Tamandua tetradactyla: one gene and its partners. The protein of the gene in region 1 interacts with the protein of each later gene in a biochemical or structural test. Links are inferred from orthologs where the notes say so. Each region holds a gene or a part of one and is shown in the gene's direction. Other genes may lie near its edges. The genes, in order: RB1, CDK3, RBBP4 and BRF1.

What was found.
Region 2: of the proteins of RB1 (region 1) and CDK3, one has a biochemical effect on the other in vitro, tested with the Homo sapiens proteins (2 studies listed by BioGRID). The link is inferred for Tamandua tetradactyla from reciprocal best matches to the Homo sapiens genes RB1 and CDK3.
Region 3: the proteins of RB1 (region 1) and RBBP4 form a complex in vitro, tested with the Homo sapiens proteins (2 studies listed by BioGRID). The link is inferred for Tamandua tetradactyla from reciprocal best matches to the Homo sapiens genes RB1 and RBBP4.
Region 4: the proteins of RB1 (region 1) and BRF1 form a complex in vitro, tested with the Homo sapiens proteins (2 studies listed by BioGRID). The link is inferred for Tamandua tetradactyla from reciprocal best matches to the Homo sapiens genes RB1 and BRF1.

The regions. Positions count from the first base shown.
Region 1 is NC_135330.1:109,981,462-109,989,060, reverse strand, and holds the start of RB1 (retinoblastoma-associated protein), read left to right. Parts: upstream 1-4,312; 5' UTR 4,313-4,499; coding exon 4,500-4,627; intron 4,628-4,892; exon of another isoform or gene 4,893-5,569; intron 5,570-7,356; coding exon 7,357-7,483; intron 7,484-7,599. UniProt on the Homo sapiens protein: Tumor suppressor that is a key regulator of the G1/S transition of the cell cycle. The hypophosphorylated form binds transcription regulators of the E2F family, preventing transcription of E2F-responsive genes.
Region 2 is NC_135332.1:16,404,454-16,412,027, forward strand, and holds the start of CDK3 (cyclin-dependent kinase 3), read left to right. Parts: upstream 1-4,401; 5' UTR 4,402-4,487; intron 4,488-5,159; 5' UTR 5,160-5,169; coding exon 5,170-5,285; intron 5,286-5,647; coding exon 5,648-5,725; intron 5,726-5,821; coding exon 5,822-5,942; intron 5,943-6,035; coding exon 6,036-6,206; intron 6,207-6,283; coding exon 6,284-6,385; intron 6,386-6,658; coding exon 6,659-6,862; intron 6,863-7,574. UniProt on the Homo sapiens protein: Serine/threonine-protein kinase that plays a critical role in the control of the eukaryotic cell cycle; involved in G0-G1 and G1-S cell cycle transitions. Interacts with CCNC/cyclin-C during interphase. Phosphorylates histone H1, ATF1, RB1 and CABLES1.
Region 3 is NC_135328.1:193,217,317-193,224,948, reverse strand, and holds the start of RBBP4 (histone-binding protein RBBP4), read left to right. Parts: upstream 1-4,394; 5' UTR 4,395-4,528; coding exon 4,529-4,544; intron 4,545-5,125; coding exon 5,126-5,273; intron 5,274-7,632. Other genes in the region: ZBTB8OS (protein archease), read right to left, coding at 3,656-3,788. UniProt on the Homo sapiens protein: Core histone-binding subunit that may target chromatin assembly factors, chromatin remodeling factors and histone deacetylases to their histone substrates in a manner that is regulated by nucleosomal DNA.
Region 4 is NC_135340.1:87,366,997-87,374,788, forward strand, and holds the start of BRF1 (transcription factor IIIB 90 kDa subunit), read left to right. Parts: upstream 1-4,556; 5' UTR 4,557-4,558; coding exon 4,559-4,742; intron 4,743-7,792.

The DNA.
Region 1 (7,599 bases):
GAGTTTATGAAGTAACAGAAGGTGGGAAAAGAACAAGAAGACAAGGGACTTTTGGAAGACAAGGGAATTTTTAAGAAAGAAGAGGTGGTTGACTGTTAAACATAAGAAGGTTCAAACAAGTTAAGAACCAAAAAAGAAGCCATTGGGAAAACAGACAGTTCTTCAGAAAAATTAAAACTAGAATTACAAGATCCAATGCTCCAATTTATAGGTATATAGTAAAAAGAATTGAAAACGTGGACTCAGATACATGTACATCGATGTTCTTAGACACATCATTCAAAATAGCTAAAAGGCAGAATGACCCACGTTCATCAATAGATGAATGGATAGACAAAATGTAGCATTTCCATACAATGGAATATTATTTATCCATAAAAAGGAATGAAGGGTTGATACATGCTACAACATGGATGAATGTTGAAAACATCATGCTAAGTTATGTCAGGCACACAAAAAAACAACTATTCTATGATTCCACTTACATGAAATATTTAGAATTGAAAAAAAAATCAGAGACAGAAAGAAGATTAGAGGTTACCAGGGCAGTGGGAATTGGGAGTTATTGCTTAAAGAGCACAGAGTTTCTCTTTGGGGTGATGAAACGGTTTTGATAATGGATGGTGATGATCATAGCACAACCTGAATATAATTTGTGCTATTGAATTATATGCGTGAAAGCGGTGAAATGGGAATTTTTATGTGGTATAGATGTTAACACAATAAAATTTAAACATTAAAAAAATAAAAAGATATAAGCAAAAAAAAAAAAAAAGCCATTGAGTGATCTCTTAGGACATTGGTGGCCCCTGAAAGAGTGATTTCAGTGGAGAGCTGGTGGTGGCAGTGGGAGAAAGCCAGATTATAGTGAGCTGAGGAATGAGAAAACAGAGAGAACAAATGGGGACTACCCTTTCAAGAAGCTAAAGAAATGGAAATACCCTGATAGCTTGGGGATGCAAAAAAATCTGAAGAAATTTTAGATTACAGGAGACTCAAAAAAAACAAAAAGTATTCTGGTATCATGGAAGAGGCATCATGGAAGAGGTATCATGGAAGAGGCATCTGTAGTTCTCTCTACAGATGGCAAGTCTATGAATGATTGTTTTTTGGTCTGGCGACACTATTCTTAAAGTTACTCTGGAGGTGAGGGAAGATCAGAGAAAACATATTTTAAGAAACTAAGAACATCTAACACTTATTCGGTAATGCAACAAAAAACTGCGGGGGAGATGTGATGATTTTGATTTACTTAATTGCTCCTGCATTGTGTGTAAGGAAAATACACTTAAAAAGTACAAGAGAACACAGTGAAAGGAATCCGTGGTAAAGATACACATCTTTTTGTAAATCGAGAAATGTCTCTTTATCCTAATTGTGGTAAATTCAGATGTTGATAAACTGGGTTTAAATAAAGCAAGTTATATAAAGAGAGCTTACTTCAGTTTCCAGAACATTCCTCACCTCTCCTACCCTCTCTACTGCCCAACACTGAGTTAGGGACTAGGGCTCCAAAGATGCCCAAGATTTGGACTCCATCCTGAAGGGGATCATAGGAGAAGTATTGTCAGTCATGATACTTTCTGCAAATTACGGAAATTTCCAGCTCAGTCTATGGCGGCTCCAGGGTTGGTCAAATCAGAGGTTCACTTATGCCACCAAGGCTCCAGATTCTTTTGATAATCCTACTGCACCATCCTCAGCATTTCTGCCTTATTCTCTGGTCTGCTTGCCTCAGGTCACAGTGGCTGCTGCAGTTTCCAGTGTCATATCCTCATGACAAGAGTTAAGAGGTAGAGGAAGAAATGTCATCCCTGTATTTCATTTAATCAGCCTCCCAACAAACTATCCTTCATCATCCAAAGGCCAAAAACTACATCCTGAGCTTCTATGGTGGCTTGAAGCTGTATTACCCAGAAAAACATGTTCTTAAATTTAATCCATTGTAAATAGGACTTTCTGATAAGTTGAGTTCAGTTAAGGTGTAGCCCATCTCAATCAGGATGGGTCTTAATTCTAATATAGAGGCCTTTATAAGTGGAGTGGAATTCAGACACACACAGAGAAAGCCAGAAAGAAAGCAGCCAGAGGCTGAAATCAAGGGAACTCAGAAGAGAGAGAAGAGACCAGGAGATGCTGCCATGTCTTGCCATGGTGACAAACTAAGGTCCAAAGATTGCCAGCAGCCAGCCCCAGACCACCAGTTTTCAGGGGAAAAGCATCACCTTGATGTCTTGATTTGAACTTTCTTTTAGCTTCAAACCTATGAGTTAGTAAATTTCCATTGTTTAATGAGAACCATTTCATAGTATTTGCTTGGGCAGCCTAGGAAACTAAAACAGCTCCTGTCTAAACCAATCCCAGCCAAGGTGAATGGGGTTTACCATTGTAATAAGATTCACTCTCTAGGGCTGTGGCTGGGCCTGGATCCTTTCTCCTGATAAGCTCTGGCCTCCTAAGACAGGTTTCTAAAGTTAGGTGGGACTGGCTGTTGGGTAGGCCAATACTTGCTAATCTTTTTCACATTCTGCCGTATATAATGATGTGTTAGGGCTCTCTAGGGAAACTGAACCAATAGGAGATATCTGTGCATATGAAATTTTATAAAAGTGTTTCATGCAACTATGGGAATGCAAGAGTCCAAATTCTGTAGGGCAGGCTGTGGGCTGGCAACAACAATGAAGGGGTTCAATGAATTCCAAAGGAGAAGCTGGCTGGCTGGGTGATGTAGAGATAAAAATTCTCTCCTCTGACTGCTGAAATCATCACCTCTCCCTTAGGTCTTCAACTGATTGGCTTCTCTCATTATGGAAGACACTCCCCTTAGTTGATAGTAGAAATAACCAGGTATAGATGCAATTAACTGATTGATGATTTAATAAACCTGCCTCAGGTTTATTAACCAGCCACAAAATGTCCTTACAGTAAGTAACAGTTAGGCCAGTGCTTGCCTGACCAGACAGGGCACCATCACTTGGCCAAGTTGACACATGAACCTAACCATCACACATGATATACATAGAAAATGATAATCCTTGGTATGGCACACTGGATAAATGTATGAAGCTTTCTGCCAGGAACTATCTGAAAATGTAGGCTGCTTCAGATACTGTTCAGCTGTTCCAAGGATGAGGGGATTTACAGTGGAGCACAATTGAACATCATTCACAGCACCTCCAATGGGTAGTTTTGAGCTAGGCAATCAACAGCATCTGCAAGATTGAGAAAAACATGTACTTCAACTAGAAAACGCATTGTTATAAATAAACACCAAGAAACACAAACCATGCAGTTTTCAAGCCAATGTTTGGGAGCCGTAGCCACAACAAACTTTCTGAGGTCTTGATGCCTTTGCACACATCATTTCTTTCTTCTTGGTGTTTTCTTCATTAGCATCACCTAATGGATAAGTGGGTGAATATACTTGGGTTCAAATCTTTCGCCATCCATCAGCTATGTGCCACCTGGCACATTAATGAGCTCCTCTGAGCCTGGTTTCCCATCTGGAAAGTGGAGTAATACTACTACTGATTTTGAAGGGTTGCCTCTGAGGATTAAATAAGATTATCATGGAAAGTGGCTAGCAACGTTACTGGCACACAGCAAGCCCTCATTAAAAAGAAGGTTTATCTATAGAGAGAGAAAGTGAAAGCGAGAAACATACAGTAGTGTGTTCGGCAAATTTTATTCAACTGCCATTTCCCTCTGAAGATCTCGCAGATATGTGGATAGACCCTCCTATTTTTATGCCACTATTAAGACATTTATCACACTATCCTGTTTACTTGTTCTTTACCCACAGACCCTCTGCCTACACTATCCAGGGATTTCCCCCAAAGCCTCTAACTGTCCTACATTTCATATCCTCTAGTGATTAGTGTTCTGTAAGTATCTGTGGAACAGAACAGGAGTTCTTCTTTTGACCCACCCTGCTAACAGACTGGGCAGGCGGGACCTGGTTCCGAGGCCAAAGGGTGCAGAAGCCTGATAACACCGCGCACTCGCGCGTGGACGCCGATCCGGCTCGCAGATAAGAGTTGGGGGCCCAATCTCACCCCCCAGGCTTTCTTCAACGCCCTACTCCGGGCATCCCCAGCCTGGAAAGGGCAGGTAAGGGCAAGAACCAGGGTGCCGCGGCGGCGACCGCCCCTGGGCAGCGCCTCCACAGGCCGGGACTCGCGGCCCACCCCACCAGCGTTCGCGCCCCGCCCCGCTCGCGCTCGCCCCCGCCCGACGCTGGGCGCCCGGGGCCCCGCGAGACGCCGACGGGCCCGAGCGACTCGCGGACGTGACGCCGCGGGCGGAAGTGACGTTTTCCCGCGGTTGGACGCGGGGTTCGGGTGCCGGGCGGGGGAGCGCTCGGCCGGCGTTTCTCGGGGGACGCCCAAATCATTTTGCCACGAGAGCCGAGCGCGGACGGGGCGTACCCCGACGTGTGCGCGCGGCCCCCTGCCCTGCCGTCCTCCACTGCTCGCTGGCTCCCGCCCCAGGAGGGCGTCATGCCTCCCAAAACCCCCCGAAGAGCGGCTGTCGCCGCCGCCGCTGTGGAACCCCCGGCGCCGCTGCCGCCCCCTCCTGAGGAGGTCCCCGAGCAGGACAGCGGCCCCGAGGAGCTGCCTGTGGCCCGGTGAGCGAGCCGAGTCGCCGCCGCCGCCAGCACCCGGGCAGGCGCCGCGGCGTCCTCGCGGGGAGCCCCCGTCCCGCGGGAGAAGGCTAGCTCTCCGCGCCCCTGTGGCCACCGCGGAGTGTCGGAAAGACGCGGCCAGGGGAGCGGGTTCGGGGGGCGCGGGCGGAGTCGCCAGGAAGAGTGTCGGCTCCAGGTTGACAGGTGTCCGGTGGGTGGGGCTCGGGTCCCTGAGCGAACTGACAGGTGCCGGCTTCCCTTCTGCAGGGCGGGGAGATGGCGGGGTTTTGGGAGCCCCTCACGGGCGGGACGACGACCCGGCGGCGTCAGCGGGAAAGGAAGCGGTTTTTCCTCCCCTTGAAAGACGCTGCACCCGGGCGGTAGTTGGACTTTCTGTTTTGGCCCCTGCGATGCTGGTTCCAAGCATTTTCCTCCGGGTGTGCATTGCATTCTAGGAGAGGCGGCAAAAGCCGCGGACGCTGCCGAGACGTTTTTGGACGAGGTTCTTGTTTGGGGTTCGGAGGCGTCAGTAGAGACTGGCAGCGCGGAACTCTTTAGAGGTGGCAAAATCTTTCTGAGCCATTGAGCGCAAGTGCTGAAAAGTTTCTGAACTTTTTCTTTTTTCTCTTTCGGGATAAAATTCTTTTTGAACGTTAGTCTGCTTCCACATACCTCGTTCTGTCTTCCATTTTGCCTTTTTTTTTTTTTTTTTGCCATTTCGGAAACAAGGCTCCGGGCGGCGTCTGCTTCTTTTGGTTGTTTTTGTTTGTTTTTGCTTGCTTTTTTTGTTTATTTTTTGGGACAAAACTGGTGATGTGCTGTGTGCACATGGAACTCTCCCACCCGGAATTAGTAGGGTCTAAATCCAAGGAAGTCTATATATATATATGAAGGAGATATTTATTTGTATTGCAGCATCCTATTTTTCTTGATTGTGTTACATTGGTAAGTAGTTAAATTTGAATAGTATGTACTTGTCCTTATTCCTTTCTATCAGCGCTGGTCCTGCTTTGAGACTGCAGATTCATTGCAGAAGGATCGGACTCCTTTCTCTCTCTCACCACTCCCTCCTCCATTCTTGTCCATCACCAGGTCCCGTGTTACCCACGCTTAATTGTAGGTTTCTTTCCATTCTCTTGCTACCAACACAGTCATGCCAAACTGTGAAAGATTGAGAACGGCTTTTGGAAATGGCCTGTTGAAGATGATAAAAAATTCTTTTATTGAATAGCCTTGATAATGCTTATCTAAGACAGTGACCCACTGTCTTATGGGTCAAGTAAAAAATCATACCCTCCAGGAAAAAAGAACAGGTCTTGGGGGATGTTCTGAGAGATAAATTACCAGTTTCTAATTAACTCTGATGTGTACAATACTTGAAAATTTCCTTTTGGGAAGAACAGTAAATAGCTTCTCTAAAGAATTATCATAGGGTAACCAGAAATATTTGAAGTTTGCGTTATCACCTGAGAAAAGAAGGACTATTTCTTTCATTTCCCCCCTCCCCCCTCCTTTTTTAACACATTTTTTATTTATCTTCAAGTAATGGAAGCACAAAATTCTCCTGTCAAACCCTTTTATTTCAAAACGATACGTGATATATCTGCTCTTATCCATTTTCATGGGTAATCAAAAGCTGTACATTAACTACTTAGCAAGATTATGACCACTGCCAGGCAGTCCGAGGCTGAGAAACTTGATTTGGGATGAATTCAGGGCCCAGTTCCACCTGCATTTCCAATAACAAACGTCCATTTCTGCCTTGAGAAAGAGTTGAGTTCATGTTTCTGTTGCATCATCTCTGGCTTAAGTGATGTGGTTGGAAGGGAATCTGTCTCTAGGAACAGCACGCCACCTTCATTGTTGAGATAACTAAAAGTTAATTATGTTTTGAAGGAAGACTTGGCGGTGTAGAATAGTGGTCTGCAACATGGATTGTGGAGTTAGACTGCTAGGTTCATAATCCTCCCTTACTGGCAGAAACCTTAGGTGAGTGTTTTAACTTCTCTGATTTGGCTTACTCATCTGTAAGACAAGGGTAATAAGAGTAAGAGTACTTACTTAATATGGCTGACGTGGGAATTCAGTGAAACCAGAATGTAAGGTGTTTTGTGCAGGGTTGTAGTAAATACTCAAAAATTATTAGCTATTCCACTTGCAAATATGATTATTAAAAACTAAAATAAAATAAAAATATGTTTATTAAGTTAATGAAAAGGAGTTAGCCTTGATAATGCTTATCTTGGTTAAGGAAGATCAAGGAATAAGGGTTGAAAAAAGTGTATTATTAATCACAAGTAAGAAATGCTACAAGATAGAGGTATGTGAAACATTGATAAGTATGGGCCTTATGTTAATGAAGGCATTGGCATCGAATTGATTCTGTAATGTCATCTGTAGGCTTATCTCTTCTTGCTTTTGTCATTACCTTATTTTCCCAAATAACTTTAGCTATTATCCTTACTTTCCTTCACAAACCTATTTTACTGCTCTGAAGTATAATAGGTTCACTGTGTCAGCACACATTTTTCGTTGTTTGGAAAGACAATGAAAGATAAATATGTTTAAATTTAAAGCATAATTTTTTCAAAGATGAAATTAATATCTTAAAGTACTTAGTAATGCTGTCTTTCAGGATAGTGCTATTATGTGCAAACCTTTGAAACAAATGTTTACTATATCATTTTGACTTATAAGTGTTTGCCTATTATATATACTTTTTCATTTGGTAGGCTTGAGTTTGAAGAAACTGAAGAACCTGATTTTGTTGCTTTGTGTCAGAAATTAAAGATACCAGATCATGTCAGAGAAAGAGCTTGGTTAACTTGGGAGAAAATGGCATCTGTGGATGGAGTATTGGTAAGGATTTTCTTAAAATTCTTTGAAATATTTTTTCTCATTTTAAAAATAATTTTGGGGGTGATGCAACGGTGGCTCGGTGGCAGAATTCTCGCCTGCAATACTGGAGACCTGGG
Region 2 (7,574 bases), on another chromosome or scaffold:
CCTTCCAGCTGAGAGAGGAGCCCTGACCGTGTTCACCATGTGCCTTTCCAGATGAGAGAGAAACCCTGAACTTCATTGGCCTTCTTGAACCAAGGTATCTTTCCCTGGGTGCCTTTGATTGGACATATCTATAGACTTGTTTTAATTGTTTTAATTCTCGGCCTTAGAACTGTAAACTAGCAACTCATTAAATTCCCCTTGTTAAAAGCCATTCCGTTTCTGGTATATTACATTCCAGCAGCTAGCAAACTAGAACAGTCCCCTTGCCCTGGATTCCCGTATTTTCTTGTGACACCCAAGGGCTTGAGAACTTGATGCTCTGGATGGAGGCATGGGGTGTAGGCTTCCCTCACCTCTCCATCAGACCTCCTTGCTGTATACTTGGAGGTCACCGGCCACAGCAAGTGGCCGTCCATAAATCCCACCACCCTTTGGTTTTCTTCCATCGAACCTCATCTCCCCATTCCACCCTCTGTCTGCCTTTCCTCAAGCCTCTTTCTTATGCTCTCACCTTCTTCGGGATTTGACTGAAACCTGGCTTTTCCCCAGGATGGCAGTTTCCCCACTACCACCTTCCTCAGGCAGTCCTGCTCAGGCCACCAAACCCAGAGGGAGTGCCTGGATCCCTGTGGCTCCTGTGGTTTGTCACCGCACACCTTTCCCATCCCCGGTGGAAGCCAGTTCTACCAGCAGGCACCTTTGCCTCACTTTGCCTCTCGCACTGGGGCCTCACCTAGGACCTTGTCTTCCCTAGAACTACCCCACCTTTGCCACCCGATGCTACAGCATTCCTGTATTTTCTTGTGACACCCAAGGGCTTGAGAACTTAATGTTCTGGATGGAGGCGTGGGGCGTAGGCTTCCCTCACCTCTTGGTACCTTCCTGTCCCTGCACGTCCTCCTGCTGCCTCCTTTTCAGCCGCACCAGGCCTCTGGATTCCTGGACTTTTCTCCCAACTTCTCTCTCCCCTTCAGTTCCTCCCCTTTCTGGCAGAAAGTGCAACCTCTTGCCCTCCTTCCATCACACTGATTAGCTCCCAACCTCCCCACTTCTCTGATCCTGCCCCGGATTATTGAGTGAAGAAGGACCACAGAACTCGGTGAATTTGCAGCACAATGATTTCAGTGTCTCTCATTTCTTGGGAACCCTCCACATTGCCTGGAAGTCCCTCCAGGCATCTTAGTCAAGCCCCTCTCCCATGCTACCCACCCCTCCGCCATCAGATAGGACCTCTTACTACCTAGCTTCCCCCATCCCTTTCGGCAGATGACCCACCTACTTCCTATGTAAAATGGAGGCTCCAGGAGCAGTCCCTCCTCCTAAGATCATATGCCCCTCACTCATCATTAGCCTCCCCCCACCCCACCCCACCAAACGCCCATCCATTCCTTCGGACCCCCAGACTGCCCTCCTGCAGGGGCTGTGTTCTCTCTTGTTTTTTATCACAGAAGTTATAGGTTTACAGAAAAATCATGTATGAAATATAGAGTTCCCATATTCCACCCTCAACTGTACACTTAACTTGTCTGCACTGGTTCTTTTCTTTCAGCATATAATGTGCTTGAGCCTCCTCTGACTTAAAATGATAATCACCTTTCACTCTGCACCCTTCCCTAACTAGGCTCCTCCTTCCCTTCACAGTCAAACTTGTTCTCCATTATCTCCCTTTCCTTATCTCTCACTCATCCCTCACTCAGCAGTCCTGGGCTGGCCTTTGTAACCTATGATCCTTTCTCAGCTCTGGCTTCTTTATCTTTGCAAGAAGAAATTCTCCCAAATGACCAGTTCCCATTCACTTTTCCTAGCTGTCATGTTCAAAAACTTTCCCCTTTCCCTGCAGCCCTTCTTCAAACACAGTTCTTTTTATTCCATTTACAGGGGCCTTCCGCAGATGGACCAGCAGTATTGTGATTTGTCCTTTGCAATAATCATATTTCAAAAAGCTCATTTCCATATTTAATAGCTTTTTCCATTCACAGGGAGAAGCAACATGTTCTACAATAAAAATCTAGTGGTAAGGGTTTCCCCAGGCTGAGAAGAAAGGCATCATGTAAGGAAACTTCTGTGAAATTGAGCCAGACAGTTAAGAAAGTCTTTATATCGGAAGTTTGCAAATTTGATGTTTCCCCCCCATTTTTGAGTTTTCAGCAGCTCCAGTTGGGGTTTAGAGCTCCTTGATTTTGTCCTTGCTCTCCCTGTGCTGCCCTGAACATCTGTGACTACTCTGAGTACTTAGGTGGCAAGATAAGGTTTAGGTCTATCAGGACCAGCTGAAGATTTGGCAGACGTCCTGCTTTATTGGTTTCCTAAAGGGGGCTGAGCACTAAGAATCCACCGTCTGCACTGATCAGTGGCTGCAGAAGGTTGTCACGCTCATCCTCTCTGGGTCGTCACTGCAGCCTGGTGCTAATAACAGAAGCTTGGTGACACCCAAGCTACTTCGTGGTTCAGACAAGTTCCATCTTCCAAGAGGAGCCCTGTATTAAGGCTTAACAGTCTGATGTTTAGAATCTGCACCCAGGCTACATTAAATTGATAAGATGGCCTAGACGAAAAAGACTAGGTTTAGACTTTATCGCATCAGAAAGCCTCTATCACAAAGCTACATCAGAATAGACAGGGTAATGTCCTAGGACATCGAGTGTACTTCTTGACGTGCTGAGAGAATAGAGAAAGCATGAATGAAAGAAAAAGTATTCGAGGGTGAATCCAGATGTCTTTTGTGTTAGATTCAGTTGTCAACTTGGCCAGGTGAGCATACCTAATCTTGTTGCTGCAGACATAAGCCAACGGTACATGAACCTCATCTGTTGCCAATTACATCTGCAGTCGGCTAGGAGGCGTGTCTGCTGCAATGAGTGACGTTTGACTTAATTGGCTGGTGCTTAAATGAGAGAACGCAATGTAGCATAGCCTAAACAGCTCGGCGTTCCTCATCTCAGCACTTGCAGCTCAGCCCAGGCCTTGGAGATGCAGAAAGAAGTCACCCCAGGGAAAGTTGTTGGAACCCAGGGGTCTGGAGAGAAGACCAGCAGAGACCATCTTGTGCCTTCCACGTAAGAAAGAACCTCAGTGGAAAGTTAGCTGCCTTTCCTCTGAAGAACCAACAAAATAAATCCCCTTTTATTAAAAGCCAATCTGTCTCTGGTGTGTTGCATTCCGGCAGCTAGCAAACTAGAACATCTTTCCTGTCTGATGTCACCTGAATGTTGACATATTCCATCAGGTCACCACTGCATCTTCTAGAAGACCTACTGGCATTGGAAATTAAACTTGGAAGTGAGCTCTAGAAATCTGATTATTGCAAGGGACCAATTGGACACTGCTGTCAATCTGTCTGTGAAAGGCCTGTGTAAATGGAATGACTTCCAGCCTGCCCTGGAAGAGGGGCTAGATAGGGCTTCTTGAGGTGATTTACCCCTGTGAGGCCAAACTCTCCTGGAGCTCAGCCCCTTGGATATATTAAAATATGGGTTTTCTTTTGCCCTAATTTCCAATGCCAGAGGGTCCCAGGGTGTGAAGGGGGCCCTAACCTCAGTACAAATGGAGACCTAGGATAGTGACTGAGACCCCTCCTCGACCAGGGGCACATCCCCTCCTCGACCAGGGGCACATGGGGCCTATGGAAAAGGTGGCTGAGATGAAGGTGACAAAGGATGTAGAAAGCTGGGCTCAAGCCTAGGAATCCCTTCCCAGGTTAAATGGGATTTTCAGGCCACCCACTAAGTTTCAGACATGTGCCTGTTAGTGTGTGGCAGGTCACAGTTCTGACAAGTTGCTAACTTCTATATACCGTCCTTCTTGCCTCCACCCCTCGCTGTCAAAACTCAGGACTAAGTAAATGGAGGGAAGACGGCTAGAATGCTCCTGGAGCACGTGTCACTGGCACTCTGGGCCATCACTGCTAGTGCCTCGACGGTTGTGTCTTTCAGATGGAGGTTCCGTGGTGAAGGCCCGGCTGCTGACTTGTGTGGAAGGGATCAATCTACCCTTGTTGGAACAAGCCATCCAGGAACAGAGGCTGTACCGACAAGAAAGGGACAGCTCCCAATAGGAAATGGCAGTTCCCAGCCATGCACCTCCTCACACACTCACCGGATCCTGGGCCAAACCAACAGGAGATAACCTTGCGGTGGATGGAGACGCTCTCCCTGGAGTGACAGCCCTTGCTGGGACCAGAGAGTAGAGGGGAGGGCTTGTTCTTCTGGCCCCTTTCCATAATTATTGTCCCGGAAATGGGATCCTGGAGAGCAGGCCCCGAAGTCTGCCCGCTCCGCCCCACCCCCCCAAGGCTGCTGGAGGCCGAGCTCTGGGGCACTGGGGGCCCCAGGCCATCATGGAAAACTCCAGAAGGTCCTCGTGAATAAAGGCGCCAGAGGGCGTGAGCAGGGCTTGTGTGCACGTGGTGATGCTTCGGCAGCGGCCAGGAGGGGGCGCCGTGGGGCCGGAGTCTGTCAGCAGTGAGGCTGCTGCGTGCGCAGTTTCTGGTGACGTCTGGGCTGGCGAGGGTGGCACTGAGAGGAGGGTGCTGGGGCGCAGGGGCCCGGGTGGGGGGCCCGGGATGCTGGGGGGCCGCCCCCAACAAGCTTCTGCCCTAAGAAAAGACCAAGCATCACCAAACGGGCCGGGTCTACCCCCTCAGCGGACTGTGTGGCCTAGGGCTAGTCTGTGGCTCCAGCCACCCTTCCAAGCCCTGACCTCTGACCCGAGCCATCCCCAGCCCCTGGGCAGCCTTTCCGAGCTGCCTTCCCACCCCGGGGCCCGGGCCGGGGGGCGGGGGGGGGGCAGGGGCTTGGGCCTGGGCATGAGAAGTTTGGGCCCTCCTGTACTCCGTAGCAGGGCGCAGTGCAGCAGCGTCCGGTTCCCCCTGGGGACTGGGCAAGAGCACAGGGGGTTCCTGCCTGGGCTGGGCAAGGGGCAGCCCCCAGCCCCGAGCCAGGTGCCCAGGGATGGGCTGGGGACACCAGGGGCGGGGAGCTGGGCCTGGACGGCCGCCACCGGGACCGCAGAGCGGGGCAAGCCCTGTGGGCCGCAGGCCCGGGGAGTTGGGCAAGCCCGGGGGGGGGTGCTCAGCAGGGGTGCCATGAGGAGGCTGGAGGGGGGAGCCGGGGCTGGGCGTGGGGGGCGAACGCCCCGGGCGCCATCTGTTTCCCGGGCAGCTCTGTGGCCATGGATGTGTTCCAGAAGGTCGAGAAGATCGGAGAAGGCACTTACGGGGTGGTGTATAAGGCCAAGAACAAGGAGACCGGGCAGCTCGTGGCCCTCAAAAAGATCAGGCTGGATTTGTGAGTGCTGGCACGGCCCCCGAGAAACACCCAGCCCAGGGCCACTCAGCCCTGTCCATTCCCTCATCTCAGAATGCTGCGCTCAGTTCCTTCTGTGAGTGCTGCCTAGTTCTATTCAGGCAGCCACGGAGATGCAACCCTAACGTGTCCTCACCCCAACCCACTGCCTCCTCCCTCCCTCTGGCCCAGCTTTGCCCCTGGGCCCAGCTCCCTGAGGCTCAGATGGGTTGTAAGTAGGTGCCGAGGCACACAGGCTCCCATTCGCTGGGGGTGGGCCATCCTTACAGGAATAAGGAACACAGAAGTGCTCCCTCAGCTCCTGCCTCTAGGCCTGCTCACAGCTGTGCCCTCCTTCCCTGCAGGGAGACTGAGGGAGTCCCCAGCACCGCCATCAGGGAGATTTCCCTGCTCAAAGAACTTAACCATCCCAATATCGTCAGGTAAGTGGGCAGAGGAGGCAGGGAACTGGAACAGTGAATGCCAAGCCTACCTGAATCCAGCTAGGAGCTGCTGCATCGCTGGCGTCTCCTTGCCAGGCTGCTGGATGTGGTGCATAGCGAGAAGAAGCTTTACCTGGTGTTTGAGTTCCTCAGCCAGGACCTGAAGAAGTACATGGACTCTAGCCCTGCATCTGAGCTCCCCCTGCACTTAGTCAAGGTACCAAGGCAGGGCTGGGGAAGATGAGGTATCAACCCACTGAGCCAGCCCCCAGCCTCTTCAGCTGGCTCCTTCCCGTGCTTGCTGTTCCAGAACTACCTCTTCCAGCTGCTGCAGGGGGTGAATTTCTGCCACTCTCATCGGGTCATCCACCGAGACCTGAAGCCCCAGAATCTGCTCATCAATGAGCTGGGAGCCATCAAGCTGGCTGACTTTGGTCTGGCCCGCGCCTTTGGGGTGCCCCTGCGCACCTATACCCACGAGGTACTGCTGGGTCAGGGGGAGAGAAGGGCAGCTGGAGGAATGGCACCCAGGAACGGCTCTGTTTTCTTGTCCCTCAGGTGGTGACACTGTGGTATCGTGCCCCCGAGATTCTCCTGGGCAGCAAGTTCTATTCGACAGCTGTGGATGTCTGGAGCATTGGCTGCATCTTTGCAGAGATGGTAAAGAGGGACAATGCATTGCCGCGGGTGTGTGTGGGGGGGAGGCGCGTGCAGGCAGGTGCGCCTGCTGGGAGCCGGGGCTCGCTGCTTTTCCTATTAGAGGTGGGTTGAGGGGTGTTTGAGACTGGCTAACAGACTGAGGAAGGGGCTTCATCCCAGGAAAAGCCCTGGGAAAGATATCTTGAGGGTCACTCCCTTCGTTCTGGCTGCTCGTTGGTAGCAGAGTCTCTTCGACCAGCAGGGGCTCTACTCTTTCTCCTTGGCCCCGTCCAGGTAACCCGCAGAGCACTGTTTCCAGGCGACTCTGAGATTGACCAGCTCTTTCGTATTTTTCGGACCCTGGGGACACCCAGTGAAGCCACGTGGCCAGGAGTCACCCAGCTGCCTGACTATAAGGGCAGCTTCCCCAAGTGGACCAGGAAGGGGCTGGAGGAGGTTGTGCCCACTCTGGAGCCAGAGGGCAAGGACCTGCTTATGGTAGGTGCCAGGGTAGCCCTGGCTGCTGCCCCAGCCGGGAGGACCCCCTCGGCCAGCTGACCTCTTACATAACCCGCACCTGCTGTGGCTTCACACTAATCTCTTCTCTGACCCTTTATATAACTGGCTTGTCCCTGTCCTTGTGCGTATTGATTCTTAATCTGGAAGCCACGCTGCATGATAAGTTCAAAGTTCATCTGCCCTTATAAAGCTCCTCTTTTCCAGTTAGCTTTTTTTTTTTCCAGTTAGTTTTGTTTTTATACCCTGAGACTTGCCCTTTACTCCTTGTATTTTTACTTCTTTCCCCTTGTGGCCGTTATTACCCCATCCAAGCGGCAAGCTTTCCTGGTATTCCCTGTAGTACCGTCAATGCTGGGCAGTCTTCACATGAGGCTGTTCACAACAGGCTGTTCCCTGTTGCCTGCGTGCCTGCCACATTCCTCATCCCCCCACCCTGCAGTCCCTTTTATAACCACTTGGACTGGTCCCAGGTCAAACTGGTCAAAGCCAGCAGTTCTTGCCCACATAGGCTTGGAGGACTTAGTTCTCTCTTTAATTTGATGTTGGGTCTAGGGAAAGCCATGCAGTCTTTCTGTCTCCGGGCTGTGAGTCCAGCTTCCCGTGGATGTCTATTGACCCTATGTCAGCAGGACAGCATGGGCTTCCGGCCAAGGCTATTAGCACCCCGTCCGGGGTACCCCAGAGCAGCAGG
Region 3 (7,632 bases), on another chromosome or scaffold:
CAACAAGCTCAGGATAGCAGACATGAGTTTTCCAAAATCCTAATTTTCATTTGAGTGCTTGAATTTCATCACTGGCAACAAATACGTCAGTTGTTTTTTTTTTTGAGGACAGATCACATTATCTATTTTCAAGAAAATCTCAGCCAAACACTCGTGGCAGCCAATTCAGCTTACAACTTTATTACATAAGTTTTTTTTCTCAAGGTAACCATCTTACTTCACATATGGGAGAAACATTTTGTAATACTTTTGCTTTCATTAAAAAGATTATTTTAAAAATGTATACTGAAGGGTCAGGATTTAATAAAATTAGTAATTCTTACTGATTCATCAAAGACATTCATAAGTGAAAATGACTTTTTTTTTTAATGGCAAGTATGTGGTGGTAAAGAATACAATGACTACGACTACTTTTGGTCTTGCTGCCTCAGATTGTGCTAAAGTGCCAGAAGTTTAACCTAATACTGTTTTCCCACCACCAATGTATCAAATATCAAAGCAGTGACAAAAACAATTAGCAACTTAGTATTATTGTGAAAATAGTTTTGACATCATTTCTAGGGCCCACAAACCATACTTTGAGAGTTGTTACTACTATAGGAGAAAAAGAGATAAACCTAACCTAGATTAAGGGGTTCAGGTAAGAATTCCTGAAGGAAACAAGATTAAACACTGTAAGTGCCAAGAAACTGAGGACTATCTATATTTGCTTTGCTCTTTTTTTCCTAATTTCTGTTCAGTAACACACTGAATGATAGGTGCTCAGTAATACAGGCTGAATGATAGGTATTCAGTAATATGCGCTGAATGAATACATGAGATCAACTAATCTGAGTCTTAAAGGACAACAGGGCTACAAGGAAACTTTGGAGGTAGATTTAGGGGTGGTCAATAGCAAAAAAAGGAAGCTGCAAGAAAATACAGACTAATCTCACATTACATCAGTGTAAAAATTCTATTAAAAATGTTCACAATAGAATCTAATAGCACATTAAAGTAATAATACACCACAACTAAGTGGGATTTAGTATTCCTGGATTGCAAAGAGGATTCAATTTTAGGAAATCTGTTCATATAATTCAGGTAAATATATGGTCATCTCTATAGATATAATCATGAAACATAATATAAAAATATTAACGGGATTTTTGTGAGACTAAAAAGGTTTTTTTGCACAATTTTAAACTACTACATTTTAAACTTTATTTTTTCTCTCATTCCTAATTGCTGTTTTTACTGAATGTTTTATAATGCATTGGTTATGACCATATAGTAGAATATACATAATTCAGGATGTGCAATGAAAAAAGTTTGGAGACAATTGTCCCAGAGAATCAACTGAAAATTATACTAACCATAAGAGAATTCATAAAGTGCCATTATAAAAATTAATTATAGAACTCAAGAGCTTTCACATATATTATCAACAACCACAGAGATAATATAATGGAAGAAAAGTCATTTACATTAGCAATAAAAAAAATGAAATGCTATGAGGTTATACAGAATAAGATTTGAACAAATGGAAAGACATACCTTATTGCTGGAGAAAAAGACTCAAAGTAAAAGCTTTAATTCTCCCTAAGTTTATTATTAACAAAAAATAATACCCGTAGAAATTTTTTTTTCAAACTCAACAAGCTGATTTTTATCTATATATAAACAAGAAAGAATGGCAAGAAAGGGGCAAGTACTGGGGGAGAAACTGTCCTACAAGATATTAAAAGATAGCATAAATTCCCAATAATTAAACCATGGGCACAAAAAGAGAGAGGATAAAGGATTAGAACGGTAAGTTCTGCAACACAACCAACTACATGTAAGGGAATTCCGTATGTGATAAAGATGTGGCATTTCAATCGCAGGGTAACCAACTGTTGAATAAATGATGTTAGAATATCTGGTGAGTCATCTGGAAAATAATTAAATTGGATACTCACTTTCCACCTTACCTCAATTCTGATCAATTTATGATTTAAATGTTTCTTTAAAAAGCAGTAAGTATTAGAAATAAGAACAATCTATAACAATATAGAAAAATATGAATCTCACAAATACAATGTTGAGCAAAAAAAAAAAATGTACATACTGTGAGTCCATTCACACAAAGCACAATAACAGGCAAAACAAATCTATGGTGTTGGAAGCCAGGCTCATGACAGGTGAGAGTGGTAGTGACTGGAAGGGAGCATGAGGCTTCTGGGATGCTGATAATATTTTGTTAATCAGGTCACTAGTTATACAAGCATATTCAGTTTGTGAAAATTCATTTATGCACATTTTTCTATATGCATACTGTACTTCAATAAAAGTTTTATTTTCACATGTACTAGGAGAAAACATGAGAGAATTATAACCTCTGACTAGGTAAGGTCTCCTACATTGACACCCCAGACGCCATAAAAAGAAAAGATTAATAATTTTACCTACATAAAAATAAATTTCTAAATATAAAAGAGCATCAATGCAATACAAAAATGGGTTAAGAATATGAACATACACTTCCGAGAAGGGAACCACAAATAGTCCCAAACATACTGAAAGATGCTTAACCTCACTTATAATCAGAAAAATGTAGATAGTATGACAAGATACATAACAAATTTTAAAAACCCAAAAAGTATGATAACACCGAAAAGTGGCAAAAGTGTGGGAAAAGAAATACATTCATACATTGCTAGTGAGAGTGTTAACTGTTATAACACCTCTATGGAGAACAGTTTGGCAATAACTATTACAGTTAAAAATACACAGATCCTTTGACAAAGCAACTTGCAGGAAGTTTTTCTACAGATACACTTGTGTATATGCAAAACACGGATGTCCAAATATATTCACTGCTGCACTGCTGGTAACAGAAGAGCAGAAACATCCTGTATACTGAAAACTGGTTTTAAATAAAGTAAATGCTGCGACATCTTTGCACATACACATGAGAAAATGGTAATAATGGTTATTCTAGGCTTATTTTTCACTGCATACCTGTTGAATTCTATATATAACTATTAAAATATGATAAAAGACTTATCCAGAGGACAATGGGAAATCAAGGCAAGATTTTAATCAGGGAAATAAAATGTGCTCCCCAAACTACATTTTCCTCAGAGATGGTAACAGCGTTTGTAGAGGATGTGCACTATGATGGAACTGAGATGCAAAGACAAGCTATGTGATCTGCCTGAAATCTAAGCAAATGAATGATAAAAAAACACGTCTTTTTATTAGCATCACGACCCATATAAAACACCAAATGAGAAGTTCCTGATTTGGCTTTCTCAATTCCTAACATGATAACACTTTATCCTCGTGTTGGAGATACATGCCCACTGTTGGAGATAACTGACATCGACAACCTCGAAACACTAGAAAATACGGTTATCTTTAGAAATAATACACTAGTAAAATCCACAAGATACACATGATTAGTATCTATACATGAAAGTTCAACAGACTAAATGTGCGAGCCCAATTTTCTCGAATCTCAGACTAGGTGGCTCTTTTCTTTAGCGTCACTCCGACAGGTACAAAAGAGACTACAATACACAGAGGAATCAGGTCATGTCTGAAGTACTTTTGGCGAGGGGTGAAAGGCAAGGCCGGAAGCCAGGGGATGCCAGTGAGCCCCTATCTAGAGAGAGGAGAGTCACCTACTTACACTCGTACTTCCGATTGACTGGAGGATACTTGGCCTTGATTGCCTTCTGATCCTCAGTCAAATTGTAGTCTCTCACATCTTCCTCCGGCTCCGCCATGAGTGGAACATTGCGTAGTCTACTTCCGCCCTTCATCCGTCAGACTTCAGCCCTACATTACAACTTCCGCTCTAGAGTTCGTCGCCTGGCACGCACCTTTAAAGGACCAGGACTCCATTTTCGTAGCGTGCGGATGTAGTTTAGCCGCTAAGCCTTCCGTCTTAGGCCCAGCCGCTTGGAATACACTTTTAAATGATCAAGTCCTCATTTCCTGCACTTGATTCATCAGTCCTTTTTTAGGATTAAAGAAACAAACAACTTGAAGGTTCTGGAAATAGGAGGCACCTGAATTAGACACTACCTAAGTCAGAGTGACAGGAGCCGTCCTGCCTCCCCCAAAGGTATCCAGGGTTTCTCAATTGAGTACTTAGAAGGGGTCGCAAGCTTAATTGGCTTGAAGGAAATGGCTGCGCCCAGGGGAGTACAATGCTAAATCTCTGTCACGTGACCCTAGGCGAGGCCAGCCCCACCAACCCCTCCGAGCGCGCAATCGAAGGAAGTCAGCGAGAGCCGAATAGGGGAAGGGGCGGAGCGCGCGCCTCGGCCTCGCGTAAAGCGACTCTGCGCGTCTGGATAGGCTCTGAATGTGGCTCCCCGCCCACTCCACTGTTCGGAACGCCCCGATTGGCCGATGTTGGCGCGAAGGTGCGCAAGTAGGGCCTCACGCAGGGGCAGCAGGAAACAATAGAGGCCGAGCGCGCTGAGCAAGCGCCTCCAGCCTCCCCGCCCCTCCCGCGACGCTCAACTCCGCGAACCCCCTCGCTTGCCTGTCCGCCATGGCCGACAAGGAAGGTGAGGGTGCCAGGGCCGCCCTAGGAGAGCCGAGGGGAGTCATGTCTGTGCCGCGGCCTCGACACGGCCTAACAGCGAGGGCAGGCCCAGTTTTGCAGAATGCGGTTCCCACCGTCGAAAGCGTGAGGAAAACTCCCCACTGAGCGGGCTAACGGCGCGCCAGTAGGAGGGGGTTGCCCGTCGGAGCCGGCTGAAGCTGGCGGTGCTTAGTCCCTCCTCGAGCAGCCCGGCAGCCTCTCTGCGCACCCTATCGGTGTATTCTCTCCCGGGCCTCATTCCGCGGCTCCCTATCCCCAAGGGTCGGTGTTCGGGCCTCCTCGCTGGTACTGTAGATTACGGCGTAGGAGAGCGTGCGAGAGCCAGGGAGCCGTCACACCCAGTGGATAACGGGGTGTTTGGCTGGGGTGAACCCAGGGTAGTTTTCGGCCCCCATCCCGCCAAGGTGTAAAGGAGTGTTAGTGCCACTGCCTAGAGGGGCTTTGGGCAACCCTTTTCCTCCCCCCATTTCAGAATCGACTCAAGTAGCAGTGTGTTCGATTTCCGTTTGTGTTTGCTAACTTCATTTATTTTTAATGCTTTAGCAGCCTTCGATGACGCAGTGGAAGAACGTGTGATCAATGAGGAGTACAAAATATGGAAAAAGAACACTCCTTTTCTTTATGATTTGGTCATGACCCATGCTCTGGAGTGGCCCAGCCTCACTGCACAGTGGCTTCCAGATGTAACCAGGTGATACGAATCTCTTAAACTTTCTTTTGGCGGACCCTCATGAAGTTTTTCACATTGATTTTTTTCCGTATTGTTTTCCCTATTTTCTTCTCTCCGGGTCACTTGATATTTTTTTTTTCTTACGTCAAAGAACTTGGCAAAATGTGAAAATGTTTTGTGACTTACCCAAGAGAAAACTTGATGGCATTGTCTGCCTCTGATACTGAATTGAGTCGCTACATTACAACTATAGATTTATGTACATGTGTGTATTATGTGTATAGCCATGTTAAAGCTATAGTTGTCCAAATGTAAAACTTGTCAGCCTTCAAAAAGGAGTATGTGTCCAGTTCTTTCTGCAGAACTTGCTTGAACTCTTTAACAGTCCCAGTCTCGCAGTAGTAACTGTTGAATATAAAAAATGAGTATGGCATGGTACCTGCCTTCAAGAAGCACACAGACTACTCAAAGAGGCAGACGTAAACTAATAATTATTAGTTATTAGAAAGTTAGAGCAGTTACAATTAAAGGAGGTGAGAGCAGAAAACAACGTGAAGGTGGAATGGTTTTCATGTGAATGGAGTTGGGCATAGTGAGGGTAATAGAGATTAATCATGTTTTCCTGGAAGTGAGTAGCTTAAATCTGCAATAGAGGAGATTAAATATTTAACTTAATGTACATTTATTAAGGATTTAGTAGCTATCGGATATCAGGGGATACCAGATATCAATTTCCCTGCATTGATTTCCTGCATATAAACAGTAAAAATAACTAAAATTACCATAAGAGTAGTAGTGCTGATGAAATGATGAGAAAGGAAAATTTACCTCAACCCAAGAGTATGAAAAAAAGTTTCAGGAAGAAATAGCATCTAAATTCATTCAAACTCTGGTTTAGTAAGTCAAGATTATTGCAAAATATTGTGAGACTGTGATTCAGCTCAGCAGGCATTAAGAATGAAGCTATTTCTTTCATAGTGGCTTGAAGAACAAATGAGGAAATCTGTCCTAAGGATGTTTTCTAAAACCATAATAAATACTTAGAAATTTAACCATGTTTGGCTTATCATCAGAATTACTTAGTGAGTTCAGGATAAATGGATTTGTTTCTGTCAGAAATTCTTAGTGATAGTTGAAACTATTTAGATTCTTGTGGCAGAGTTCCTAAGTGAATGATGATTCCGTATTTACTCATGTGCTAAATTATGTCTATTAGACCAGTGGGTCCCAAATATTAGCCATCCCAGACCTTCTAAATCATCTGGAACACGTTTTTTTGTTTAATAATATGTATCTTTTTTTATTTTTAAATTTAAAAAAATATATAACAATAAACAAACATGAACATTCTTAACATATGACCATTCCGTTCTACGTATATAATCAGTAATTCGCAATATCACAGTTGCGTATTCATCATCATAATCATTTCTTAGAACATTTGCATCAATTCAGAAAAAGAAATAAAAAGACAACAGAAAAAAGTTCATACATACCATATCCCTTACCCCTCCATTTTATTGATCACTAGTATTTCAATCTACTAAATTTATTTTAACATTTATTTTTGTTCCATATGTTTCACTTATCTGTTGATAAGGTAGATAAAAGGAGCATCAGACACAGGGTTTTCACAATCACACAGTCGCATTGTACAAGCTATATCGTTATACAATCATCTTCAACAAACATGGCTACTGGAACACAGCTCTACATTTTCAGGCAGTTTCCTTCAGCTTCTCCATTACATCTTGACTAATAAGGTGATATCTATTTAATGCGTAAGAATAACCTCCAGTATAACTTCTCGACTCTGTTTGAAATCTCTCAGCCATTGACACTTTATTTTGTCTCACTTTGCTCTTCCCCCTGTTGGTCGAGAAGGTTTTCTAAATCCAGCTCATTCTAGGATTTCTGTCCCATGTTGCCAGGAAGGTCCACACCCCTGAAAGTCATGTCCCACATAGACAGGGGGAGGGCGGTGAGTTTGCTTGTTGTGTTGGCTGGAGAGAAGACGCCACATCTGAGCAACAAAAGATGGAACCCATGTTTTAAAACTTCCCAGGTAATGTAGTGATTAACCAGATATAGAAAGCACTGAACTAGACTATATTCCCCAAGGCTGAAATCCTGTGCACTGTCATCTTAGTTTTCTACTTTTGCAGATCTAGGTAAGTCTTTCTGCATTGTCTGACATTGCTCCAGACCTCTTTTTGCATTTTACTCAATGTAACATCATTTTCTTGTTTTTAAGATGAGGATCACAAATAATTAGCTCTATTAAGATGGGTTTACATTTTTTTGTTTGTTTTTTTCCAATCTTTGTTCATATCCCTATCCATTTCCTTTAAAAAAAAAATCACAGTTGTTCTATACTAAA
Region 4 (7,792 bases), on another chromosome or scaffold:
GACTGCACAGCAGGGAAAGATAATGTATTAAATAAATAAATCTCTGAGACATTAATGAGGGGAAAAAAGTAAGTTGTGGAAGGTTACGTATATGATCATTTCTGTAAAACCTAAAATCTTGCAAACCAATAGTATACATTGTTTATGGAGACACAGATAGTCATAAAATATTAACAGTTCCATGGCACTGATGACTGTCCAGTACAGCCTGGTGGTTTTCTCTGGTCAGGGAGCAATGGAATCTTGGAAGATGCATACTCTGTGTTCTTTTTGTTTTACTTTTTCCCAGCATACACTCCCTCTTCTCTCCTATGATCCCCCGGTAAATACCAACTTCTATCTCTGTAAATTCGCTATTTCTAGTCATCTCTTATCAGTGGCATCATGCAAGATATTTCCTTTTGTGTCTTGCATATTTCACTGAGCATGAAGTTTTCATAGTCCTTCTATGTTGCTGCAGGCCTCAAAACTTCATTCTTTCTTCTGGCTGAATAGTACTTCATTGTGTATATGTTGCACGCTTTGCTCACCCATTCATTTGTTGATGGACAGTTGGGTTGTTGGGCTTTGTGTCCTTAATGGTCACCAGAGACAGTTTATTTAAATGAGCTGAGCTAAATAGCATATATGTGACAATGCTGAACTTTGATGTATCTCAGTGCTGTTTCCTTGGGTACTTTTCTGTTTTCTCTCTGCTTTTTGGTATGCTTGAAATATTTTCTTAAAGAAGAAAAGCCTTCCAGGACCATGCACCTGATTAAAAAAAAAAAAGAAAAAGAAAAGCCTAATAAGTAAACTCATGGAGTTAAAATCTTTGAAGAAGAAGGAGGAGGAGGAGGCAAGCCACTAGTTCAGACTTTTCCAAGCAGAGACATTCTTCTGGCATTAGCCTCTCGTGTGGCACGCATGCTTTTGCGCCCGTGGAAGCATCATGTGACTGTTTCACTGGTTCCCTCGCCTGCATCGTGCAGCGAAGGTGGCTGGGACTTCAGTACCCGGCCTTGGCCTGCTGGGGGCTTGGAGGCTGCCCCACTAGGAAGGGGTTCAGGTGCCAGCATATATGATGTTAATACTCCCGTAATTTTAGCTGTAGCTTTTAATGTGAGTTGGCGTTTGTTTCTGAAACAGTGTGAGGCAGGAATTCAACTGACACTTTCGCCCTGGAAATGGAAAGCGTGCCTGGGGAGCTGGTTTGCATGTTTACTCGGGTTTGTTTGGACTCTTGGTTTTACTTCACTTGTATATTTGTATGCCCCTCTATAAATATCACCTGTCGTTTTTCTTCATTTTTGTTATTGTCAAATATAACGTATATACAAAGCAAAGAAAGAAAAAAGCAATAGTTTCAAAGCATTCTTCAACAAGTGGTTACAGGACAGATCCCAGAGTTTGTCATGGGCTACCATACAATCCTCTCAAGATTTTTCCTTCAAGCTCCTCCAGAATATAGGAGGCTACAAGGAATAATTTTTTTTTTATCATCACAATAAACTTTTTTTTCTTTTTTGTGAAAAATAACATATATACAAAAAAGCAATAAATTTCAAAGCACAGCACAGCACAGCAATTATGGCCAGATGGCTTCACAGGGGAATTTTTTTTTTTTTTGCTTTTAGTTTATTATTTATTTTGCAGGAATCTTTGACTCTAAATATGTACTGTTTGGCGGTATGATGCATGCTTAGCCTTTTAAAATGTCTTTGTACAATTTCATCTCAAAATAATTTCATTCACAGTGTACACAGAAATCTAAGAGAGACTTAGTATTTACAAGATTCAATATGTTCTTGCTGTTTTAAAGAAACTCATCAATTCCTTACAGTAGGAAAACACGGACACTAAGTATCGTTATAAATAGGAATTCAGAATTGTTCAGTCTCAGAACTGTTCATGGCTTTAGAAATGAAAATTGAGTCATTATTCTATTAGTCTCTGAATGCCCAAGCCATGCAAAATCTATTTGTATTAAATATATGGGGATGCAAATAATACAGGAAAAAATGCAGTCTGGCAAATGTGAAAATGTCATCAGAATTAACTTTTACGATAAGAAAATAATGTTAATTCTTTCAAAAAGATACAGTAGTGGTGCAACATAGTGCCCAATGTATTCTGATTTTTTAAAGAAACATTTAAATTGTCAGTTTTCTTCCTCTACAGGTATATAGACTCACATATTGCAAAGTGGAATCATTTAAGTGGACTCATTTAAGGGGAATTTCATCAAACATTCTAAAATGAACTAATACCAATCAATTAACGTAATACAGCACATTAACAAATCGAAAGGGAAAAATCACACGATCATCTCAATTGATGCTGAAAATGCACTTGACAAAATTCAACATCCTTTTCTGATAAAAACACTTCACAAGATAGGAATCAAAGGTAACTTCCTCAATATGATAAAGAGCATATATTAAAGACAGATAGCCAGCATTGTACTCAATGGAGAGAGACTGAAAGCTTTCCCCTTAAGATCAGGAAGAAGACAAGGATGCCCTCTGTCACCACTATTATTCAATGTTGTACTAGAAGTTCTAGCTAGAGCAGTCAGGCAGGACAAAGAAATACAAGGCATTCAAATTGGAAGGAAGTGTAAAACTTTCATTATTTACGGATGACATGATACTACACTTGGGAAATCTACAACAAAGTGACGAGCTAATAAACAAATTCAGCAAGGTGGCGGGATATAAAATTAATGTGCAAAAATCAATAACGTTTCTATACATAAGCAATGACCTAACTGAGGGGTCAGTTAAGGAAAAATTCCACTCAAAATAGCAACTAAAAAAATCGAGTACTTGGGAATGAACTTAACTAGAGAAATAAAGGACTTGTATATAGAAAACTACAGAACATTGCTAAAAGAAATTTAAAAAGTTCTAAATAGGTGGAAAGACATTCTCTGCTCATGGATAGGAAGATTAAATATAATTAAGACTTGGAAAAGCTAGTTACCAAATTCATCTGGATGGGAAAAAGCTAAAAGTACCCTAAAAAGGAAGAACAAAGTGGGAGGATTAATACTAAGTGACTTTAAAACTTATTATAAAGTCACAGTGGTCAGAACTGCATGGTACTGGCACAAAGATTGAAGTATTGATCAATGGAATTGAATCGAGAGTGCAGAAATAGACAATCAAATCAATGGTCAACTGATTTTTGACAAGGCCCCCCAATCCACTGAACTGGGACAAAACAGTCTTTTCCATAGATGGGAGTGGAAGAACTGGTTATCAATAGCCAAAAGAATAAAAGAGGACCCTTACCTTATACCTATACAAAAATTAACTCAAAGTGGATCAAACATCTGAATATAAGAACTAGCACCATAAAGCTTCTAGAAGAAAATGTAGGGAAACATCTTCAAAACCTCCTAATAGGAGGTAGCTTCCTACATTTTACACACAAAGCACAAGCAACAAAAGAAAAAATAGGTAAATGGGAACTCCTCAAAATCAGATGCTTCTGCATCTCAAAAGACTGTCAAAAAGGTGAAGAGGCAGCCAACTCAATGGGAGAAAACATTTGGAAATCACGTCTGACAAAGGTTTGATATCCTGTATACATAAAGAAATCTTACAACTCTACAACAAAAGAAAAACCCAATTATAAAATGGACTAAAGATATGTATAGGCATTTTTCGGAAGAGCAAATACAGATGGCTCAAAAGCACAGGAAGAAATGCTTATTTTCATTAGCTATAAGGAAAATGCAGATCAAGACTATAATGAGATACCATCTCACACCTATAATAATGGCTGCTATGCAGGAAACAAGAAACTACAAATGTTGGTGAGGATGTGGAGAAATTGGGACACTTTCGTAGTACTAGTGGGAATGTGTAATCGATCAGCCACTATAGAAGACGGTTTGGCGGTTCCTTAGGAAACTAAATACCACCTGGTTTTAAGTGCCATAGTTTGATAGGATTTTCTGAAATGCAGAAGGACGTCTCCCTTAATTGAGTTTCTTCTTTTAGAGCTTGATTATTCTTGCAGATAATCTCTTTCAGAGGCATTTAGGAGCCATCCTTCACCATTCTTTGTAAAAGTCTGTTGCTGTTTGGAGAATGGGATTTCCACTTCCAATTCTGCTCCCCAGGCCCCGCCCCCCAGGCTCTTTCCCTAAGGCCCACCCCCGTCAGCCCCGCCCAGCCGACTCCGCTCCAGGCCCTGCCCAAGCACTGGGTGCGTGTCCTATCAGGCGCGTCCCGATAGGCCCCGCCCCACCGACCTCGCCCCCCGCAGGCCCCGCCCCTCCAGCTGTCAGGCCGGTCCGGGCCAACCGCCTCCCTCGGCTCGATATCCTGCAGGCCAGTTGCGGCTCTGCTGGTCGGTGGCCCCGAGGCCCTGCGGCCGCGCCCGGGTGTGCAGGACGCCGACACTCGCCTCGCGCCCGAGCTCCGGCTTGGCTTGCGTCGCGCGGCTCCGGCCGTTTGCTGGCTCCTGGCGGCGCGGCGAATCTGCCGCTGCGAATCGGCGCTTGCGGCGCGGGCCTCGCGAGAGCGGGGGCGCGGGGCTGGCGGGTGGCGCTCGGGTCCCCGCCGGCATGGCGGGCCGCGTGTGCCGCGGCTGCGGCGGCACGGACATCGAGTTGGATGCGGCGCGCGGCGACGCCGTGTGCACCAGCTGCGGCTCCGTGCTCGAGGACAACATCATCGTGTCTGAGGTGCAGTTCGTGGAGAACAGCGGCGGCGGCTCCTCGGCCGTGGGCCAGTTCGTGTCGCTGGACGGTGGGTTCCGGGCGCGGCGCCCCGCGACGCCCCTTGCCCCGCGGGCGGGCGCCAGTAGGTGCAATCCCAAGCTCTGGGTCTGGCGCTCACGGCGCAGGCCGTACAGGTGTCGGGCACCGGCGGACTCCAGGGCAGGTTTGGCGGGAGGAAGAGCGCGCGGCGCCGCGCGGGGAGGCCCCGCAGGGTCGGGGCGGCCTGCTACGTCGAGGGAGGGCTGGCGGTCAGCCTGAGGCGCCGCGGCGGCTGTGGTGGCGACCCTCCCTCCGCAAGAGGCCGAGAACGGCGACGGCCGGGTCTCTGGGAGAAACTGAGGCAGACGCCGAGGCTGCTGGGTCGTACGCGGTTGCTTCTCGGAAGGGGGAGTGGAGGGGGCGCTGGGTGCGGGGGTGCGGGGCTGCCGGGCTGTCACGAGCTTTATAGAACTGGTTGGCTCTTTAAACTGTGCTTGTATAACTTTGATTTTTTAAATTGAATTTACAAGAAGAGGAGAAAGCAAGAGGACTCTGGCTGTGGTCTGGACACAGTGGACACCCCCCACCCCACCCCAAACTAACAACAGTAAAATTGCATGTATTTTACAGTACAGTTCTATGAATTTAATGCCGTCAGAGATTCAGATAACCGCAATGAGTTTAAAGAAAAGTTCCATCAGTTGGAAAATCTAACTTGTGAGATCCTTTTATTGTTTCAGATTCCTCCACTCCTAGCCCAAGCAACTACTGATCTGTTCTCCAGCCATATAGTTTTATCTTTTCAGGAAAGTCAAGGAAGTGGAACCAGACAGTATGTAACCTTTTGGAGTTGGCTACTTTCAGCCAGCCTAATGGCTTTAAATTCATCCAGGTTGTTGCATGTATCAACCGTTCCATCTTTTATATTGCTGAGCAGTGTCCTATGTGGTTTTGTTAGGGTTTTCTAGGGAAGCAGAACGGACAGATAAATAGATATATATTATGTAAACATGAGATCTATTCTAGTTGCTCTAAGGTAAGTCCGAATTCCCTAGGGCAGGCAGCAAGCTGAGAACTCCAAAGGTTTCCAATGAATTCCCCAGGAGGAGGTTGCTGATTGAAGTAGAGATGCAGTCTCTGTTCTTAGTGCTGAAATCATCACTTCTTTTAAAGCCTCAAACTGATTGAATGGATGTCTCTCATTGTTGAAGGCGCGCTCCTCAGTTGACTGTGGATATATCAGCTATAGAGAGTTAAGTTCATGAAATGTCCTCACAGTAGCGGTCAGGCCAGTGCTTGCTTGACCAGATGATTAGACTCCATCACTTGGCCAAGGTAACACGTGAACCTAACCCTAACACCTTGGAACAGATGGTCTGCTGTTCGGCTAGCAACCTACCCAAGGAGATTTGGGATTGTTGCTGGTTTTAGGTGATTATGAGCAGAGCTGTCCTAAATGACTGTGTATAGCTTTCCAGGTTAGCGTAAGTTTCATTTCTCGAGAGTGGCTACCCAGGAGTGGGCTGCTGGGTAATATGGCAGGACCCATACCTGTCATACATTTAGCCCCCCACCCCTGCCAACCTGTACTCTAATTCCTGCCTTTATTTATGTACAGAGCTTGCACATTCTTTGATATTTTCTTGGAAATTACCTTAAGGCTAAATTTAACTTCCTAGATCTGTAACATTCTTGTTTGCTTTGATTACAGCTTAACTTCAGTGTTACACACAAACTGTTTCTGTACTCCTCTGGTTCTCCCCCGTATATGGAGTTCTTGCTATAAATTACATGTCTTTACATTATGAGTCTCAAACCACTGATTTCTCATTACATTTGTGCATTTGTCTTTCTCATCCTGTAGGAAGTGAAAAGTGGAAGCCAAGAATACAGTTGTACTGGCATTTATATTTTACTCTTTTCACTACCCTCACAGATCTTTATTTCTTCACGCAGCTTTGATCTGTTGTCTGTTGTCCTTTCCTTTCAACCTACCGAATTCCCTTTAGCATCTCTCCTAGGCTGATCTAGTGGTGGCGAACTCCCTCAGCTTTTGTTTATCAGGAAATAACTTAATCTTTCCCACATTTTTAAAAAAATATGTTTTTATTGAGTTATCTTCATACATATAGTCCATCCAAAGTATACATCAGTGGCTCACAGTGCCATCACGTAGTTGTGCATTCATCACCATGATCATTTTTAGAACATGTGCATCACTCCAGAAAAAAGCAGTAAAAGGAAAAAACTCATAACATCCCATATCCCTTACCCTTCCCTTTCATTGACCATTAGTATTTGAATCTACCCAATATTTTTGACCCCTTATCCTCCTCTGTTATTTATTTATTTTTGCTTTTACTTATCTGTTTATACCCTGGCTAAAAGCATCAGACAGAAGGTTTTCACAATCACATGTTTATATTGTAAAATCTATATAGTTATACAATCATCTTCAAGAATCAAGGCTACTGGAATACAGTGTAACCGTTTTAGGGACATCCTTCTAGCCCCTCCTATAATACCATAAGCTAAAAAGGGATATCCATATAATGCATAAGAATAACTTCCAGGATAACCTCTTGAATGTGTTTGAAATTTCTCAGCCACTGAAACTTTATTTTGTCTCATTTATCTCTTTGCCCTTTTGGTCAAGCAAGCCTTCTCAATCCCATGATGCTAGGTCCCGGCTCCCACATTTTTTTTTTTTTTTTATTAATTAAAAAAAGAAATTAACAACAAACAAAACATTAAGATATCATTCCATTCTACATATACAATCAGTAATTCTTAATATCATCACATAGTTGCATATTCATCATCTCTTAGAACATTTGCATCGATTTAGAAAAAGAAATAAAACGATAACAGAGAAAAAAAAGATTATACATACCATACCCCTTACCCCTCACTTTCCTTTACCACTAGCATTTCAAACTAAATTTATTTTACCATTTGTTCCCCCTATTATTTACTTTTATTCCATATGTTCTACTCTTCTGTTGATAAAGTAGATATAAGGAGCATCAGACACATGGTTTTCACATTCACAGAGTCTCATTGTGAAAGCTATATCATTGTTCAATCATCATCAAGAAA